Bombyx mori: one gene and its partners. The protein of the gene in region 3 interacts with the protein of the main gene of each other region in a pairwise test. Links are inferred from orthologs where the notes say so. Each region holds a gene or a part of one and is shown on either strand. Other genes may lie near its edges.

Evidence for each region.
Region 1: the proteins of Ter94 (region 3) and E3 ubiquitin-protein ligase RNF126 interact in binary tests that used the Homo sapiens proteins (3 or more experiments, as listed by UniProt). The link is inferred for Bombyx mori from reciprocal best matches to the Homo sapiens genes VCP and RNF115.
Region 2: the proteins of Ter94 (region 3) and UBX domain-containing protein 4 interact in binary tests that used the Homo sapiens proteins (3 or more experiments, as listed by UniProt). The link is inferred for Bombyx mori from reciprocal best matches to the Homo sapiens genes VCP and UBXN4.
Region 4: the proteins of Ter94 (region 3) and FAS-associated factor 2 interact in binary tests that used the Homo sapiens proteins (3 or more experiments, as listed by UniProt). The link is inferred for Bombyx mori from reciprocal best matches to the Homo sapiens genes VCP and FAF2.

Annotation. Positions count from the first base shown.
Region 1 is NC_085127.1:1,843,571-1,847,094, forward strand, and holds the end of E3 ubiquitin-protein ligase RNF126, read left to right. Parts: intron 1-95; coding exon 96-371; intron 372-823; coding exon 824-978; 3' UTR 979-2,353; downstream 2,354-3,524. UniProt on the Homo sapiens protein: E3 ubiquitin-protein ligase that catalyzes the 'Lys-48'- and/or 'Lys-63'-linked polyubiquitination of various substrates and thereby plays a role in a number of signaling pathways including autophagy, innate immunity, cell proliferation and cell death.
Region 2 is NC_085108.1:1,315,386-1,319,903, reverse strand, and holds part of UBX domain-containing protein 4, read left to right. Parts: intron 1-245; coding exon 246-371; intron 372-1,152; coding exon 1,153-1,185; intron 1,186-2,357; coding exon 2,358-2,545; intron 2,546-2,829; coding exon 2,830-2,946; intron 2,947-3,317; coding exon 3,318-3,413; intron 3,414-4,192; coding exon 4,193-4,343; intron 4,344-4,518. UniProt on the Homo sapiens protein: Involved in endoplasmic reticulum-associated protein degradation (ERAD). Acts as a platform to recruit both UBQLN1 and VCP to the ER during ERAD.
Region 3 is NC_085125.1:11,198,842-11,202,227, forward strand, and holds part of Ter94 (transitional endoplasmic reticulum ATPase TER94), read right to left. Parts: intron 3,239-3,386; coding exon 3,111-3,238; intron 1,878-3,110; coding exon 1,712-1,877; intron 1,095-1,711; coding exon 925-1,094; intron 478-924; coding exon 340-477; intron 1-339. UniProt on the Homo sapiens protein: Necessary for the fragmentation of Golgi stacks during mitosis and for their reassembly after mitosis. Involved in the formation of the transitional endoplasmic reticulum (tER).
Region 4 is NC_085109.1:7,645,203-7,649,720, forward strand, and holds part of FAS-associated factor 2, read left to right. Parts: intron 1-1,045; coding exon 1,046-1,183; intron 1,184-1,638; coding exon 1,639-1,797; 3' UTR 1,798-4,518. UniProt on the Homo sapiens protein: Plays an important role in endoplasmic reticulum-associated degradation (ERAD) that mediates ubiquitin-dependent degradation of misfolded endoplasmic reticulum proteins.

The DNA of each region.
Region 1 (3,524 bases), on a different chromosome or scaffold from region 3:
AGGAATGAATTAGGATTAATAGCTTTGCCATTTGTAACAACTATCAACAGTGACTAATCAAGATAAGTTAACAAAATATGTAATTCACATTTCAGGCGAGACAGTATCGCGGTTAGAATGTGAGCATCTGTTCCACTCGTCGTGTATCTCCCCGTGGCTGCAGCTACACGCCACCTGTCCCATCTGTCGGCGCTCGCTGCTCCCAGCAGATCCTCCGCCTGCCGATACTGAAGCCATCACCAATACCACAAGCACCACCACAGACACCACAGCCACCGCCACGACCCAGCAACCGCCGCTACCGCCCACGCAACCGCCCACGTCTACGGCCAGTAGTACTCCGTCAATAGCTTCAATCAATGCTCGGTCTGGTGTGTATCATCTTCCTGATTATAATTCGCAACATAAATGTTACGAACATAAAACTATTATGCAAAAACCAAATAGGATTTGCATTAGAAAAAAATAAAAACTATTTACTCTCTAAAAATAAATAAAAACTATTTGCGGTAGGCAGCGGCTTGGCTCTGCCCCTGGCATTGCTGAAGTCCATGGGTGACGGTAACCACTCACCATCAGGTGGGCCGTATGCTCGTCTGCCTACAAGGGCAATAAAAAAAACCTTTTTTAAAACTACAATTTTATACTTATTAACAGAATGGTGATAGAGCATTTTTCATGACAAATCTAAATACTTTAAATAGCTACAAATTTTTGATTACTATTCAGTTTAATTTCAAACATTTGATTATTAAACAATCCCCTATCTATACTTACAATATTCATAGTGTAAAATATTATATAATATATTTGATGGTTCTAGGTTTCGCGGCGGCGCTGCAGCAGATGATGCAGGCGACGGGCGCGCACGTGACGCTCTCGGGCTTCGACTCGGGCTCGTCGGGCTCCGGCTGGCCCGACACCTCGTCGTCGTCGCTCGGCTCGGACCGGTACAACATGGACATCGACTACGACTAACTGCAGGCTCGGCCGTGGCGTCGTTCGTGCCGCAGAAGATATGTATTGTTATGATCGAAAACGACGCGATTGTCACGTGAACTGTCGATGCCGATGCGGCGAACGCGATGAGACGTACTGTGCGCGAGTGTGAGTCGGTGTGAACTAGTCGTTGAGTGCTCATGGTGACGCCGAGCTGATCTCTAGTGTTTGCCGTAGTGGATCCTGTGAATGTTGGGAATCGTGCCTTTCATCTGTGACGTTATTGACACTACTATATGTGTGGCGTAGTGTGGGACAACTCTCGGTGTGAAAATCTCACAGTGCACATAACTAATGAGTTTATAACTTGTGTCGATTTGATACAGGTTTGTTGAAATCGACATTTTGAGGTTTTCCACGTCAGTCAATTGTGATTATCGAAATTGTGTCAATAAAAATGTTATAAATAGAATAGTTAATGAAATTGTTATACTATATTAAATGTAACTAGTTTAATGTAATGTAATAGTTGGGGTTGAATATAACTGACGTGGACTTGTTGTGTTAAGATTGTGTGCTAAATATTTTTTTATGACTGTGACAGATCTAAACGATCTATATCTTGTATAGTGAATTAATGTTAATGTTTTACTGGTGGTAGTGCGTAATGTAAGCCCGCCTGGGCTGATATTACTGATCTGCCTAATTCTGCTGTGAAGCAGTAATGTATTCCGATTTGAAGGTTTGAGAAAGTGTTATGCAGCACAATTGAGAATTAGACCTCATATCTAAAGTTGGTTGGCGGCGTTTACGTTGTAATATCTATGGCTTCTGGTAACCACTTACCATCAGGTGGGTCCTGAGCTTGTCACCCGTGTAAGCTAATAAATAAAAATTGTGAGATTTTCAAGCTGAGCTTAAATTATTGAATTGTTTGTGATTTCGTAAACACGCGTTTCACGTAATAAATAAAATTGTATGTAGAAGAGTCATGGTTCAATTGTTTTTATTTTTAGTAATCTTTTTGTCATGTAAATTATGTAAATATGCATCGTAAGTTAGGGCCTTTAATGCTGAAGTAACATGGATTGTAAATGTATTAAAGAAACGGTTGAAACTTTGACTCTAGTATATAATTTTTGTTTGTGTTTTGTAAAGTATTGTTATTATGGATTGTGTAAAATAAATAAATAAATATTAATACATAAAATTTTAAAATATCTGAACATTAAGCGTTAGCTTTATGAAAATTTTAATGATTATTTTAATTTCTCTAATACATGGTTATGTAAATATTTTATTTTTTGAAATGCGGTTTGAGAACACCATCGTAATGAAGTATTGATGCGTACAAAAAGCAATAATCATATTTGTAATAATAAAATGAAACAAAATACAAAATTTATTAATTGAATTTTGCTGTTTATTATTTAATAACATATACATTAACTGATACCTCAGCTCTGCAGAGTAACAAGTATCTTAAACAGTTAGTTATACAGCAATTAACATAAATATGGGATATTATTCATTATAAGAGAAACTAGACTTTAAAAGAAAGGTTCTACGTTGCGGCTGTCATCAATGAAAAAAAATTAAATGAATGATTTAAAAAGACAATATTTTTGTAAAATTAATATTAAGTGAAATGAAATATTGAAATTAAAATTGAAATACATTGTAACATTGAAATGCACAGATCAAACTACCATGCTATTTAATTTCCTAACTGCGACAAGAACATATTTTTTTGAATTGTCACACTTCAGAACTGAGGCCTATCGATCGATACTATTAATCCAACAATCAAATTACGTATGTGATGTTGTTTGAGTGCTCGCAGTCCGGAGTCTGTCAGCTGCCTATTAACATTGTTTATGGTACTTTAGATACCCTTTCCTTTCCTAATAAGGAAACATTGTACAAAAAAAAATGTTTATGGTACGGGCGATGGTTGTGTTTGAATCTGCCGGCTGGACCGTCTTTCGTGTCAATACCAATAAAGAAGACAGTTTGTCATCTTCCCACCCAGTCTGATCTCCATTGATGATGTTAAAAAACGGCTATAACCACTATCAAAGACTACTTGTTTGATAGCAGTTCGAACAGTGGACTAAAACGTTTAAGAACTCGCACGAGAGACACTTAGATCTGTTACAAAGAGGAATCCTACTTAATTATGTATAAACTTAAAAAAATATTTTAGTATATTATGAATATGTACCCGACATTAGTTCATTCAGTCCGATGTGATTGAAGCGTCCGTTGATAATTGAATAATTATACTATATCATTTTACAATATTACACAGCATTTTATAACATTAGAAGAATTTGCAATCTACTTTTAAAAAAAAAATTTTTTTTTATGGACACTTAATTTCTTTATTGGTCGTCGACCCCTAGACCGTTATTTTCAAATGCATTAGATATTTGGTGCAATTTCCTTAGAGACGCTCGCATATATCGATGTTACGGTAGATTCTGTTGCAGTGGATATCCGACGTTATGCCTCTTGTAACTTCGAGAGTTTATAAAATTGTCAACGTTCCTTTTTGGCTTGTCCGGCACTGAACGTAGTGAGCG
Region 2 (4,518 bases), on a different chromosome or scaffold from region 3:
CTCAAATTAATCATCTTCATTTCATTTAATTTATTTCACTATTCACTCACTATCACTATCATTTTTCATAAAATTTATGAATATAAATAAAAATAAGACATGACTTAAAGGTCTTAATTATCAGGTCATAAAATCCCTTTTAAAAAAAAAGTCATTTATGGCACCACTCACACTGCGACGTCAACGGACGTTCACTCAACTTAAGGCTTTGGATCTTCACACGTTCATCCTTAAATCGAATTCAGATCAAATCGTGCCGGTGCCGTCATTATTCTTCATCGGCAGGAATGGTACTCCTCTCGAAGTGGTCTGCGCTGGTGTGGACGCCGACAATCTGTCCGCGAGGATCGATAGGATACTAGCGGAACATCGCAAGTATCATACTAATTAATAGAAATATCATTAAAGACGTATTTAGGAGTAAACAATGAGATTTTTTTTTTATTTGTTGCCTACATGGTGGTCTACTGGTCACCTGGTGTTAAGTGGATACCGGAGCCCATCGACATCTACAACGTAAATGCCGCTACCCACCTTGAGATATGAGTTCTAAAGTCTCAGTATAGTTACAACGTTTGCCCGGCCCTTCAAACCGAAACGCATTACTGCTTTACGACAGAAATAGGCAGAGTGGTACCTACCCGTAATCCATCACTGTTTATGTCGATATTATCGTCAGCGAGCTTAGCGTCAGCGTCAGAGGAACATATGGCTTAGCCCGGTGATGCTGATATGGTCGCTCTAGACCATCAGCTTAGGTAGGAAAAAAAACCATACAGCTACCTAATGGTGAGTGGTTACCGTCGCCCATGGACTTGGCAATGCCAGGGGTAGAGCCAAGCCGCTGCCTACCGCTATACCGATTCAGAAATCTGTCAAATATCTTGCGCGGTATGGTAGCTACCGCCAAATATACCATATCTGTATGTTTATTTTGTGGTAGGATGTGTTGCAAGAGGGTAGGAATAGCCCTGTTTCTGCCGCGAAGCTGTCATGCGTTCCAGTTTGAAGGGTGTGGTAGATGGGTATGCGAAGCCATCGACCTCACGTCTCAAGGTTGGCACTCTTGCTGTGATGTCTAGAAGCTTTATAATATTGACGTAGTATAAAGCCTACGACTGTTTTAAATTCTTTTTTCTCTCTCCTTTACAGGGCAAGAAAATCCGAAGATTAATGATCATTCAGGTATTAAATGATCTAGTATTTTAGAACAGGGGAGGTTGAGATGGTATGGCAGTAACTGTCCGGGTTAAAGTCAGAAGCGATGAGCTAACTGCTCAGATCTTGTTTGGAGAGTCTCCGGTTTACAGAGAACAAGTTAAATAACTTGGCATTCTGATGTTCTGTGTATCTATACTAATATTATAAAGCTGAAGAGTTTGTTTGTTTGTTTGAACGCGCTAATCTCAGGAACTACTGGTCTGAATTGAAAAATTATTTCAGTGTTAGAAAGCCCATTTATTGAGGAAGGCTATATTATAACATCATTAAACCGATACAAGTGGAGCACCAATAAAGAATGTTTCAAAATATTTTCACTTTCTACGTAAATGAAGTGGGAGGGAAAATTTAGCGTTATGCCAAAGTAACTATTCCACGCGAACGAAGTCGCGGGCAAAAGCTAGTTTATTATAAACGAAAATAATGCAAACGTTTTTTGTTCATAAATAATTTTATATATATGTATATAACAAGATAGCATGTGCGTATGTAAATATAATAGTTATATAATATAGTATATATATACTCTGGCGTTACGGCGTCTACCCTACATTTTTGTGATATTTATCAAAACAATGTTTTATGATTAAAAAAAAATAAAAATCAAAACATTGTCTCAATATTACTTAAGTCGTTATCCACGACATATATTAGTAATTAATTAAGTTCCAATAGGTCATTTAATAAGTAGCAAAACAGAAAAATGTGCTAAATTAGTAACTGAATGGTACCCTCGAGAGGGGAAAAGATTAAAAGGACGACCGTTCCAAAGATGGGTAGACGACATAAAAGCCGTTACATGCTCCACGTGGAAGAGGAAATGCCACGACCGGAATTTATGTTAGGATTTGGGGGAGGCAACGGCTTGGCTCTGCCCCTGGCATTGCTGAAGTCCATGGGCGACGGTAACCACTCACCATCAGGTTGGCCGTATGCCCCTCTGCCTACAAAGGCAATAAAAAAAAAGAGGCCTATGCGAAAGCAAAACAATCTTAGCCGATGTCAAATGCAAAGAAAAAAATGAATAGTATGTCCCTAAATATGAAATAAGGTTGCTGATAAAGGCTTCTTTATCTTTATCTTAAGTTTCAATGAATGCCAATGAGGTCAATTCAGTTCCCTCCGTTCCTCCGAAGATGCCTTCATCAAAGTATTAGACGAATATTCGGAGTCTGATAACTACGAGTTAGTCTGCGGCGATGAGATATGCGTGCGCGTGCCCAGGCCTAAGCACGACAAGCCGGGGCCCAGCCGGGACTCTGCCCCCCCAGCGGACGACTCCGCCTCACCGGCGGACGAATCGCCCGAGCCGACGGACAGCGAGGTGCGTGATCTTCTTTCTCCTCGCAGACCACTAGTGTATCGTCAATGTAGAAAACAAACAATAATTTTATTAAAATACGTATAATATTCAAGCATTCGAAATTATATAATGACAATAAAAAACAAATAAACAGGGAATAATTATAGTAATATAAATCACAGTAGTCTGTCTCGCCGGATATTCTCAGTGGGTCGCATTTCCGATCCGGTGGTAGATTATGAGAAGCACGACTCTGTCGAAATTGTCAAGATAAATACACATACAATAATAAGAGATTCTCATAGGCCAACCAGCAGAAACCTTCGGGGATGGAGACCTTGACCGAAATAGAAGACAAGTTGGAACGCACCAAGCTACTGATAGAAGCGAGACGCAGAGAGAAAGAGGAGAAAGAGAAGGAGGTTAGTTTATGCTAACACTATTATACGATTTTTTTGGGCTGGGGGTCAAATCTCCTACGAGGTCCCCGCGCTTTGGGGACTGGTCTGTAGATTTCGGGGACCGTAGGACTCGAGGGATGATTAGGGCCCTACCCCTACTAAAGGACGAGGCGAATCGAAGGTTGTGCAACGTCAATCGTCTAGGTACGGTGACCCGTCAGACGGTACCGCTGGTGTCCCGGAACACCATGCTGGACCAGAACCAGCCTTCCGGTTCCTTTTGACAATCAGATTGCTTCATGGCAGCGCGCCGCACACCCTCAACCCCCTCAACATTCGCCGCGGGAAATGCGCAATTTTTTTTTAAATAATAATGCTTCATCTCTTTCTAGCTCGAAAAGCAGAGGGAGATAGAACGACGCGCCACCGGCAAAGGGGTCACGGAACTCAAGAAGTGGCAAGCGGAACAGGAACTGAAGCAGATACAAGTATGCAATGAGCTTACGGCCCGCTCGACGTGAAGGGGTTACGAGCCCATGGACATCACGTGATAACAAAACGTCGTGTCTTGTGGGAGTCAAATGTTCTTTTTTTCTTTCTTCTGACCTCGAGCTGCCATTTTAACAAAACTAGTGGTCCCGCAGTAGTCGAAATTCGACTATAATTAATTGAAATTATAAGTTTGAACATTATTAAGGTTTTATTGTCAAAGACTATTGTACTTCTATCATCACAGATTTCGCCAAGACTACACTATAGACAAATAATATTGAAGATAAACAATATTAACCTATTCTCTATTTGACCATAGACTTTGAGCAATAACTAAAGTTTGGCAATAAACAAAGAGTATATATATGTGTGTGTGTCAAATACATGGTAGTGTGCGTAATGTTTTCTTTATTGATTTAAGGTATTATTAGCATTACTTAAAAAAATAATAAGCATGCTGCACTCCTTCTCTATATTCTCTATAAGTGTGGAAAATTTCATACTCCTCCGTCTGCGCAATTTTCGTAAAAAGGGATGCAAAGTTTTTGCTTCGCGTATTAATATATAGATATATATATGTCAGTCAGTTACTTCGTTTCGACGTGAACAAACACACGTGCGCATTTATAATATTAATTTGGATCGGTTTCGCTGGCTTGGGGACGAATTTGTCTCAAAACATTCTAGAGTACCTCATAGAAACACTTGGAAGGATTTGGCGGTATTAAAAAAACCGCCATTCGTATTCCCGATGCAATGTCTCGTCTCGTTACAGGAAGAGAGGAAACGGGAGAAGCTTGAAAACGAGCTCGCCCGGCAGCGGATCCTGCAGCAGATAGCGCAGGACCGGGCCGAGAGGCGCGCCCGGGACCTCGCCCCCGCGCCCCCAGACCCCAAGCCCGCGCCCCCCGCGCAACTGCCGGGAAGTAAGTCTTGAACAACTACCGTCGCCCATGTACCTCAGCAATGCCAGGGGCAGAGCCAAGCCGCTGCCTACCGCTTAATACTCTCCGCAAGCCTCGTTTGAAGAAGGACATGTCACAGCGCTCGGGAAACACCGTGGAGGGGAGCTCATTCCATAGCGGCATTTACGTTGTAGAT
Region 3 (3,386 bases):
TTCACGAACTGTAAGCCAGTTGCATTTAAAAAAAAAATTTTTTTCAGACATTATTACTATCAAGTTTAAATTAATCTAAGCAGATCCGTTCAAGAGAGATTTTATAAAAAAATCAGTTCTGTTGGTAAACTCATTTTCGGATATAGGATTATGAGTTTTTTAAAGCCAAACTAGTATATAATAATTTTAAATATTATTGAAACCCAGCCGGTTATTAACTATTTCAATGTAATTACATGCAAAAGGTAAGAAACTAGATTGGTTTAAATGTAAAAGCATAGGGTTTCGTTTACTTCGTTTTTTTTAAATAAAATATAGACGTAGTGGTCAGATACGAACGTCCATAACGGCAGCGGCGGCTTGCTGCTGGCGACTCCTCTCGCGATGGATCTCCGCCTCGATGGCCTGGCGAATGGCCAGCTTGCAGGCTCGCTGGCATATCTCCGTCAGGTCAGCGCCACTGAAGCCTTGCGTCACCTGCACAGTTCTCGTTATCATAAAGAATCCGCCGAGGGCAGTGGTAGTCATGGCGTGTAAAAGTAAAATGGCGGTAGAACGTCTTGCGAGTCTCCACGGGTAGGTACCACCACCCTGCCTATTTCTGCCGTGAAGCAGTAATGCATTTCGGTTCGAAGGGCGGCGCAGCCGTTGTAACTATACTTGAGACCTTAGAGCTTATATTTCAAGGTGGGTGGCGCATTTACGTTGTAGATGTCTATGGGCTCCAGTAGCCACTTAACACCAGGTGGGCTGTGAGCTCGTCCACCCATCTAAGCAATAATAAAAAAAAATAGAGGTATTTTGCTATTAATAATATTGTTTTATAGTTATGTATATCAATTATCACTTATACTATAAAATATACTTGCAAAAAGTAGCCATCTTTCTATGAATACAAAAAATATATTAAGAAGTGGAATCTACCTTGGCGATGTAAGACAAGTCAACGTCCTTAGCGATAGGCGATTTGCGAAGGTTGGCGCGCAGGATGGCCTCGCGGGACTTCTCGTCCGGCAGCGGGATGTAGATGAGCTGGTCCAGACGGCCGGGACGCAGGATGGCCGGGTCGATGATGTCCGGTCTGTTTGTGGCACCTTCATCACAAATGATTCATTTAGTTTCTCCTGATTCAATTCACTATAATTATTTTATAAAATTATCATTGTAATCGATTCATCATCTGCATGTTTACGATTTGGTTTAAAAAAGAACTAGCCTACTTCGCTGCGCATTTAAAATTAACATTATTATTTATTGTCATTATTATTAGGGAGTCCAACACTCATATAAATATTGGTCTATCCATTAAGTACGTGTATTTTCTACATGGATATCAAGTTTCAAGTCAATCGGATGCAGGGTTCAATAGTTATAACGGAACATCCGTAAAAACCACTGTAAAAACCCGTTTTTTTTCCCCCCTACTTAAGCTGATAGTCTTGAGAGGCTGTATCAGCGTAACCTTAATTAGTAGGTGAGCTCACGGGGCTAAAACCTGATGACGTTGCTAACACGAACCCTAGCAAGACCCGTGCTTCGCAGAATCTACCACCGGATCGGAAACGCGACCCACTGAGAAGATTCGGCGAGAAACTCAGTGGGCTGTCTGAGGGTAAAACCACTGTAGATTTATATATTAGTATAGATAGTGACTTGTCAATTAGCAGTGGTCATTTAATGGCAATTTCTTTAGGTAGTATAATGTAGTGACCGATGATGAAGACGTTCTTCTTGGCGCCCATGCCGTCCATCTCGGTGAGGATCTGGTTGATGACGCGGTCCGCCGCCCCGCCCGCGTCCGACACGGAGCCGCCGCGCGACTTGGCGATGGAGTCCAGCTCGTCGAAGAACAACACGCACGGAGATGCCGATCGAGCCTGACCGGGGACACAAACATTATATTATGTACTATAGTACATTGTGCACCAAGGGAGAAAAGGAAGACATTTCCTCCTGCGTGGATAAGATGTCCTACTTTTTTCCCGCGGTGCACATACTATTTTTTCGCCTACCAGGCCGAAAGATCGTAGAGTACCGAGGATACTCATAAAAAAAACCATTTAACTGTTTTTTAATTTTTAAATAAACTACTACTAATTGAATAAGAACTGTCTGATGAACTCATCTTTGTTTAATACTTCACTATTCAATTTGATTGCCTTTTGTTTGTGTCACTTTTACACTAAACACAATATTGCAAATTACCCGAGCACAACTATGGCGGAGAATTTTAGGTGCGTGAGAGCAGACGTAGACACTAACGCGCATGCGCACTTGTCAGTACCCAGGGAGGAAAAGTTACACTTTGTTCCCTGTACAGCGGGGGGAAAACCGAACTTTCGGCGTAAGTAGGAGAAAAAAAGAATTGTAAAATGGGTTTGTGTTCTGTTTAAAATGATGATTACAGGAAACAATAATTTATTATGTTTCAGTTTTTTTTTCAAAGTAAATATAAATGGATCAATAAGCCCACGGCTCTCCTTGTGATGAGCAATGCCAAGGCTTCATACATGCAGATATGAGGGCTAAAATTTCATTTTCCTAATTTCCAAACAACTGCACACTACAGATGTAGACATTTAAATTACAATTGATTATTAGCATTCCAGCGGTAGTAGCCTTAACTTTTATATACTCACTAGCTGCCCGGCAGACTTCGTAGTTCCTCAATCGATAAATAAAATACCTAAACTTTTGTATAAAATAAACTTAAAACAAACAAATGGAATCCGTCTGACGGGGGTCACATCAAGTAAAAACAAGATTTTTTTTTATTTAATTCTGAGCATTTTCATATTTATCTACCTTTTAAACCTTCTCTGGACTTCCACAAATAACACAAGACCAAAATTAGCAAAATCCGTCCAGCCGTTCTCGAGTTTTAGCGAGACAATCCAACAGCAATTCATGTTTATATATATAGATTTAGTAAGTGAGTATTATTATTGCAATGTATATTACGTGAAGCCGTAATGTAAAGCGAAAACACACGCCTTCCTCCAAATTGAATATTTTTCAAATGCATTCTCCTCCATCTTTGTTTTATAGAATATTTCAAATATACCCAGTCTAAATGTAACAAGACAAATGATTTAACAATTAGGACGCACCTTGTCGAAGATGTCGCGTACGTTCGCCTCGGACTCGCCGAACCACATGGTGAGCAGCTCTGGTCCCTTCACTGATATAAAGTTAGCCTGACACTCGTTGGCGATGGCCTTTGCCAGCAAAGTTTTACCTGATTGATAATAATAAAACAATACTTGTAATGATTTCTACAAATTAAACCAGTTACATAATAATGTATGAAAAAAATTAAATTATGCAATTTTGGCATGCAGAGTCGTCGTGACCTAAATGATACGACGTTGACTACGACGAGCGAT
Region 4 (4,518 bases), on a different chromosome or scaffold from region 3:
AATAGATTGTAATAGTCTAAGAAAAACACGTACTCAAAATACGATAACATTCAGCATGCTAGAAATGGGCAGATGGCACTGTACTACGCCATATCTTTATGTTTTGCGGCAAACGACAACTTTATAAAATCAGTGTAGCAAATTTTAAAAATCGTCATATCGTTTACTTGGCAAATTTGAAGCACGATCTCGTCTTAGATTTTACATAATATCTAAATCACATCATCTTTGCACATAACAATATACTTACTTCCTATTAAAGTATAAATTCTACAAATACATTCACTCAACAATATTTAAATTAAAATGAGCCAAGAACGTTTATCGATAAAACCTACTAACATTAAAATCTTCTGGGCAGCACTAAAACCGCCATGTTTTGTGGCCAGATGACGTCACAGCGGCACGAATTTTTTGTTGACGTTTCATTTCCATAGGTTTCCTACTTCAGTGGTTAGATTACAAGATATGGCAACACTTGGAGGAAAAGGCGTGCTCAAAGCCTCATCCCAATTTGGAGTCACTCAAGACATCTTTGATTAAGGCAGCCGCCGATATTGACATGGACCTCGTTCGTGCTGAGATAGACGACTGGCCGCGCAGATTGAAGGCCTGTATTCAAAATCACGGAGGTCATTTTGAATAAACTTTAGTGTCATAAGAATCTATGTTTTGTTAAGTTCATTTTGGGATATGAATGGTTACATAATGAATAAACTTGTTTCAATTATTTTACATTAAACATGTGACAGAATTTATGACCTGACTAGGTATATAGATATAAAAATCTGGATGGACAATATAACATAAATCTTGATATCAGAAGCACAAGGATGGATATAATAAATAAATAAATAAATAAATTGTTTAATATAAATTAAAACGTATATTTCCTATTTCTCAGTTTCTTTAGACAACAGATTTTTTTAGATTACATGGACTGGTTTAAATAAATCATATACCATAAATTTTTTACATAGATATATTTAATGCATTAGAGCCTATTACGATAATTTAATGTCGAATGCTGGTGCGGTTTGTTCAGGTGGTGGAGGCTCGTAAAGCGATGGCGTCTCGTCTGCCGTTGGAGCCGTCGGGCGGCGCTGACACCGTGGTGCTTCTGATCCGTCTGCCAGACGGCGAACGTCTCACTCGCAGATTTTCACATTTCCACACCACTCAGGTAAATACATTTTTTGTGTTAACTATTATTAAAAGCCCAGAGAAACTTACATTGTAACAACATTCAGGCTATTGAATAGAAGATACGATATAAAAAATACAGTAGGCGCGCGAGTTCGTGTCAATCCTAAGGAATCCGGTAGTGCTGTGACCTAGTTAATTATGGTAATGTCGATAATAACTACCGATTTAGTCAACAGCTGTCAATTTGGTTTAATGTTACTTAGCATACTATAGTATTATTGTTCGTGACGCATAGATGGTTTACGTGGTCACTGGAAAAGGCTAACAATAACCAAACAAAATTTATTACCTCAAAATATACTGGTACGCCCAAAAATGGAACGTGTGTCGATAATATTAAGGTCTAATATCGAAGCAATGAAAATTAAAAATACTTTCTGCTGCTGTTACAAAAAGAGAATTAAATTATATTAATTTGTGAACACGTTACAGGATCTATACGACTTTGTGTTCAGCCATCCGCAGTCTCCGGAAGAATTCGAGATAACGACAAACTTTCCCAAACGCGTGTTAGCCCGAGGAGCGTCCAACTTGTTGGACGTGGGACTGAAGGATCGAGACGTGTTGTTCGTTAACGATATCAACGCTTGAACACGAATATGTATACATTCTAGTTTTATATAAATTGGTAATAAAGTGTCGTGGTTTGTAAGGAATGCTCTTTTTTTGTAGTAACTTTTTGGGGTCAATGTTTCTTCCTTGTTGTGTAAGAGTGTGGTACCCAAAATCGGTTTTCATACATTTATGACTATTGATATTGTAATCCATGTGATCAGCCGTCGGACAGTTGTTTCTCTCTCGGAATTTTTTGTAGGCGGTGTAAGAGAATTTCTCCCGATGATGAATGTGTTTATGAAATGTGACGATTCTAAAGGGTCTGAAATAGGATTAATGTATTACAAATCAGCTCGGTCTTCTGAAAAACAAAACAGATGTTAATCATTTGCAAAAATAAAAATAAAATAAATTGGCATAGTAAAAATGCTTGATTGCGTTTTACAAATATGTACAACACAATTCAAAATCAGTGATGCTTCGAAAAGGACTTGCTCGAGTACGGTAAGCTTCCACCAGTTGGCGCGTGATGACAAAGTGCGGGCATTGACCCCGACTTTTGTAAGCTTTACATTGCGGATTCGCTTAATGCTTTTCTTTGAGCAAAAATAATAATAAATTAAAACAATACCTAATAATTGTTCTCCATGAATGCTAAGGTGGTTGGTGTTTCGGCGTCGGGAGATTGTTCTCTTACATTAAATTTTTACATGTATTTTATTCGAGTTTACATCTTGAACACGAATCATAGGCAACGTAAAGATGGCGCTATATTAGTATAATAAAAAAAATGAAAAAAATATTTTATACTAGTTGATTTTTGGACCACCCGTAGATATTAAAATTAGAGGACCGATTGCAGATTTTAATAGAAGTGTGATTACAATGCTCATAATATAGGATACTCTTGTTATTGAGGCAATGTATAAAAAACGAGGCTGAAAGCATCAGATAATCATTTAGGCATTATCAAATTTCTCCCTTCATTTGAAAACTTTAAAAATACAGTAAGAAAGGCAAATGAATAAATCCACAAAGAACGAGCAGATGCAACTAGATTTTATAAATGCAGTAGCTTAAGTTATTTAAGCAGCCTGCAAACAAAAATTGAATGTAGCGTATCTAATTCCTATAGTGATGTCTGTTTTTGGGGTTTTTTAAAAGATATTTTAAGTTTTATATTTACATTACATCTTTCCCCGTGTGAATTTTATTGTAGTTAGTTTTTATGTCTCCTAGTAATGTGATATTGAATGTTAAAATTAATTGTCAATGTACATAGATTAAGATGTTTTACGATATGAACCAGCGGTCTTGGCGAATATTAATAAATTGTGTCTCGTTGTATCTCGTTCTCACGTTGTATTTCTTTCGGGAAATCATTTGCACTCTCTGGCTTAAAGGCTTATTACACTTGGCTAAATTTAGTCGACTGAATTCAGTGAAATGTAATAGCATTCAGTAAGCTAGCCTACTAAATTCAGTAGCAAGGATGGTTTCTGACTGACTAAATCATATAGAAGACTAATAAGAAACGCATTTAGGAAGGTGTAATCGCGTTTAGTTACTTAATGATTTCAGTCGTCCCATAGCTCTCCGTGCGTAAGAACGTTTTAGTTTGTTTTTTACTTTCGAATAAAAAGTATTTATTTCTGTCACCTTTATTTAATATGCCAGATATTTATAAATAGCCCGACATTTTTCAGGGATAATTTTTGTCAGCAGGGGTTGGGATATTAAAGAACTAAATTTTAAATCTCCATACGAATTTCCTGTTGCAAGAAATCTTAATGCTACAACCGATCTTTCTTTTGAACTTATACTATCTCGCAGGGTAGTATCCTGCTTTTGAATAAACGGTGTCACAAGGTTTTATTAGGTCAAAGGATCTCGAATCCATTCGTAGATAATTTCTGAAGTCTGCTGGTTCTAAATCACTCATAATGTTCATATTTGCTAACTTTCCGCGCAGCATTAAATATTTCTTTACCCATATTCTTCTTTTTCTTTTTTTTGTTTCAATTGAACCCACAGACCAATTTTTTGTTGTCTAGACAATGCTGGGGCCAACCGCTTACATCCGCTTACGACACGTCCTACTTCGTCGCGTTTAAATTGACAATTGATTCAGTAACTGAATTTAGAAGTGTAATCAGAAGCTTCTAACTTGCTTCTAAATTTGCTTCTGAATTTAGTCGACTAAATTTAGCCAAGTGTAATAAGCCTTTTAAAAAATATCGTTTACAAACACACAGATCGGGTCTCTCGAAGAAGGCCGACTAAAACAGTTGCATTTTTAATATCGGATAGACTAATCTTATTTAGCAGTAACCGGAAATTCTCGACTTTGCTGTGAATATCATCGATTTCCTATTCCGAATTTTACGGACATTCACGTGGCCAACAATATTATTTTAGTACTTGACAAAGTTATTGAAATAATAGGATTTGGTCAAAGTGGTATTCGACACCGATATATACTATTTTAATTCGTTTAGTTTTCCGATAATTATTTATTTTTAATAATATACATTTCTAATTTTGTAAAAGATGGATATTAAATTTTTAAATAAGTTTTTGACAATGTTTTTTAAAAATATTGTTCGATTTGCATACCTACTTAGTATTTTTTTTATTACAAATAAATACATGTCTCTGTTTTTTTTAAAAGTATAAAATGTAAATATAGTATAAAAAGGTGGCAGTAAATTATTATGTAGGATACATTTGGTAAATGCTTAAATTAAATGTAGTCAT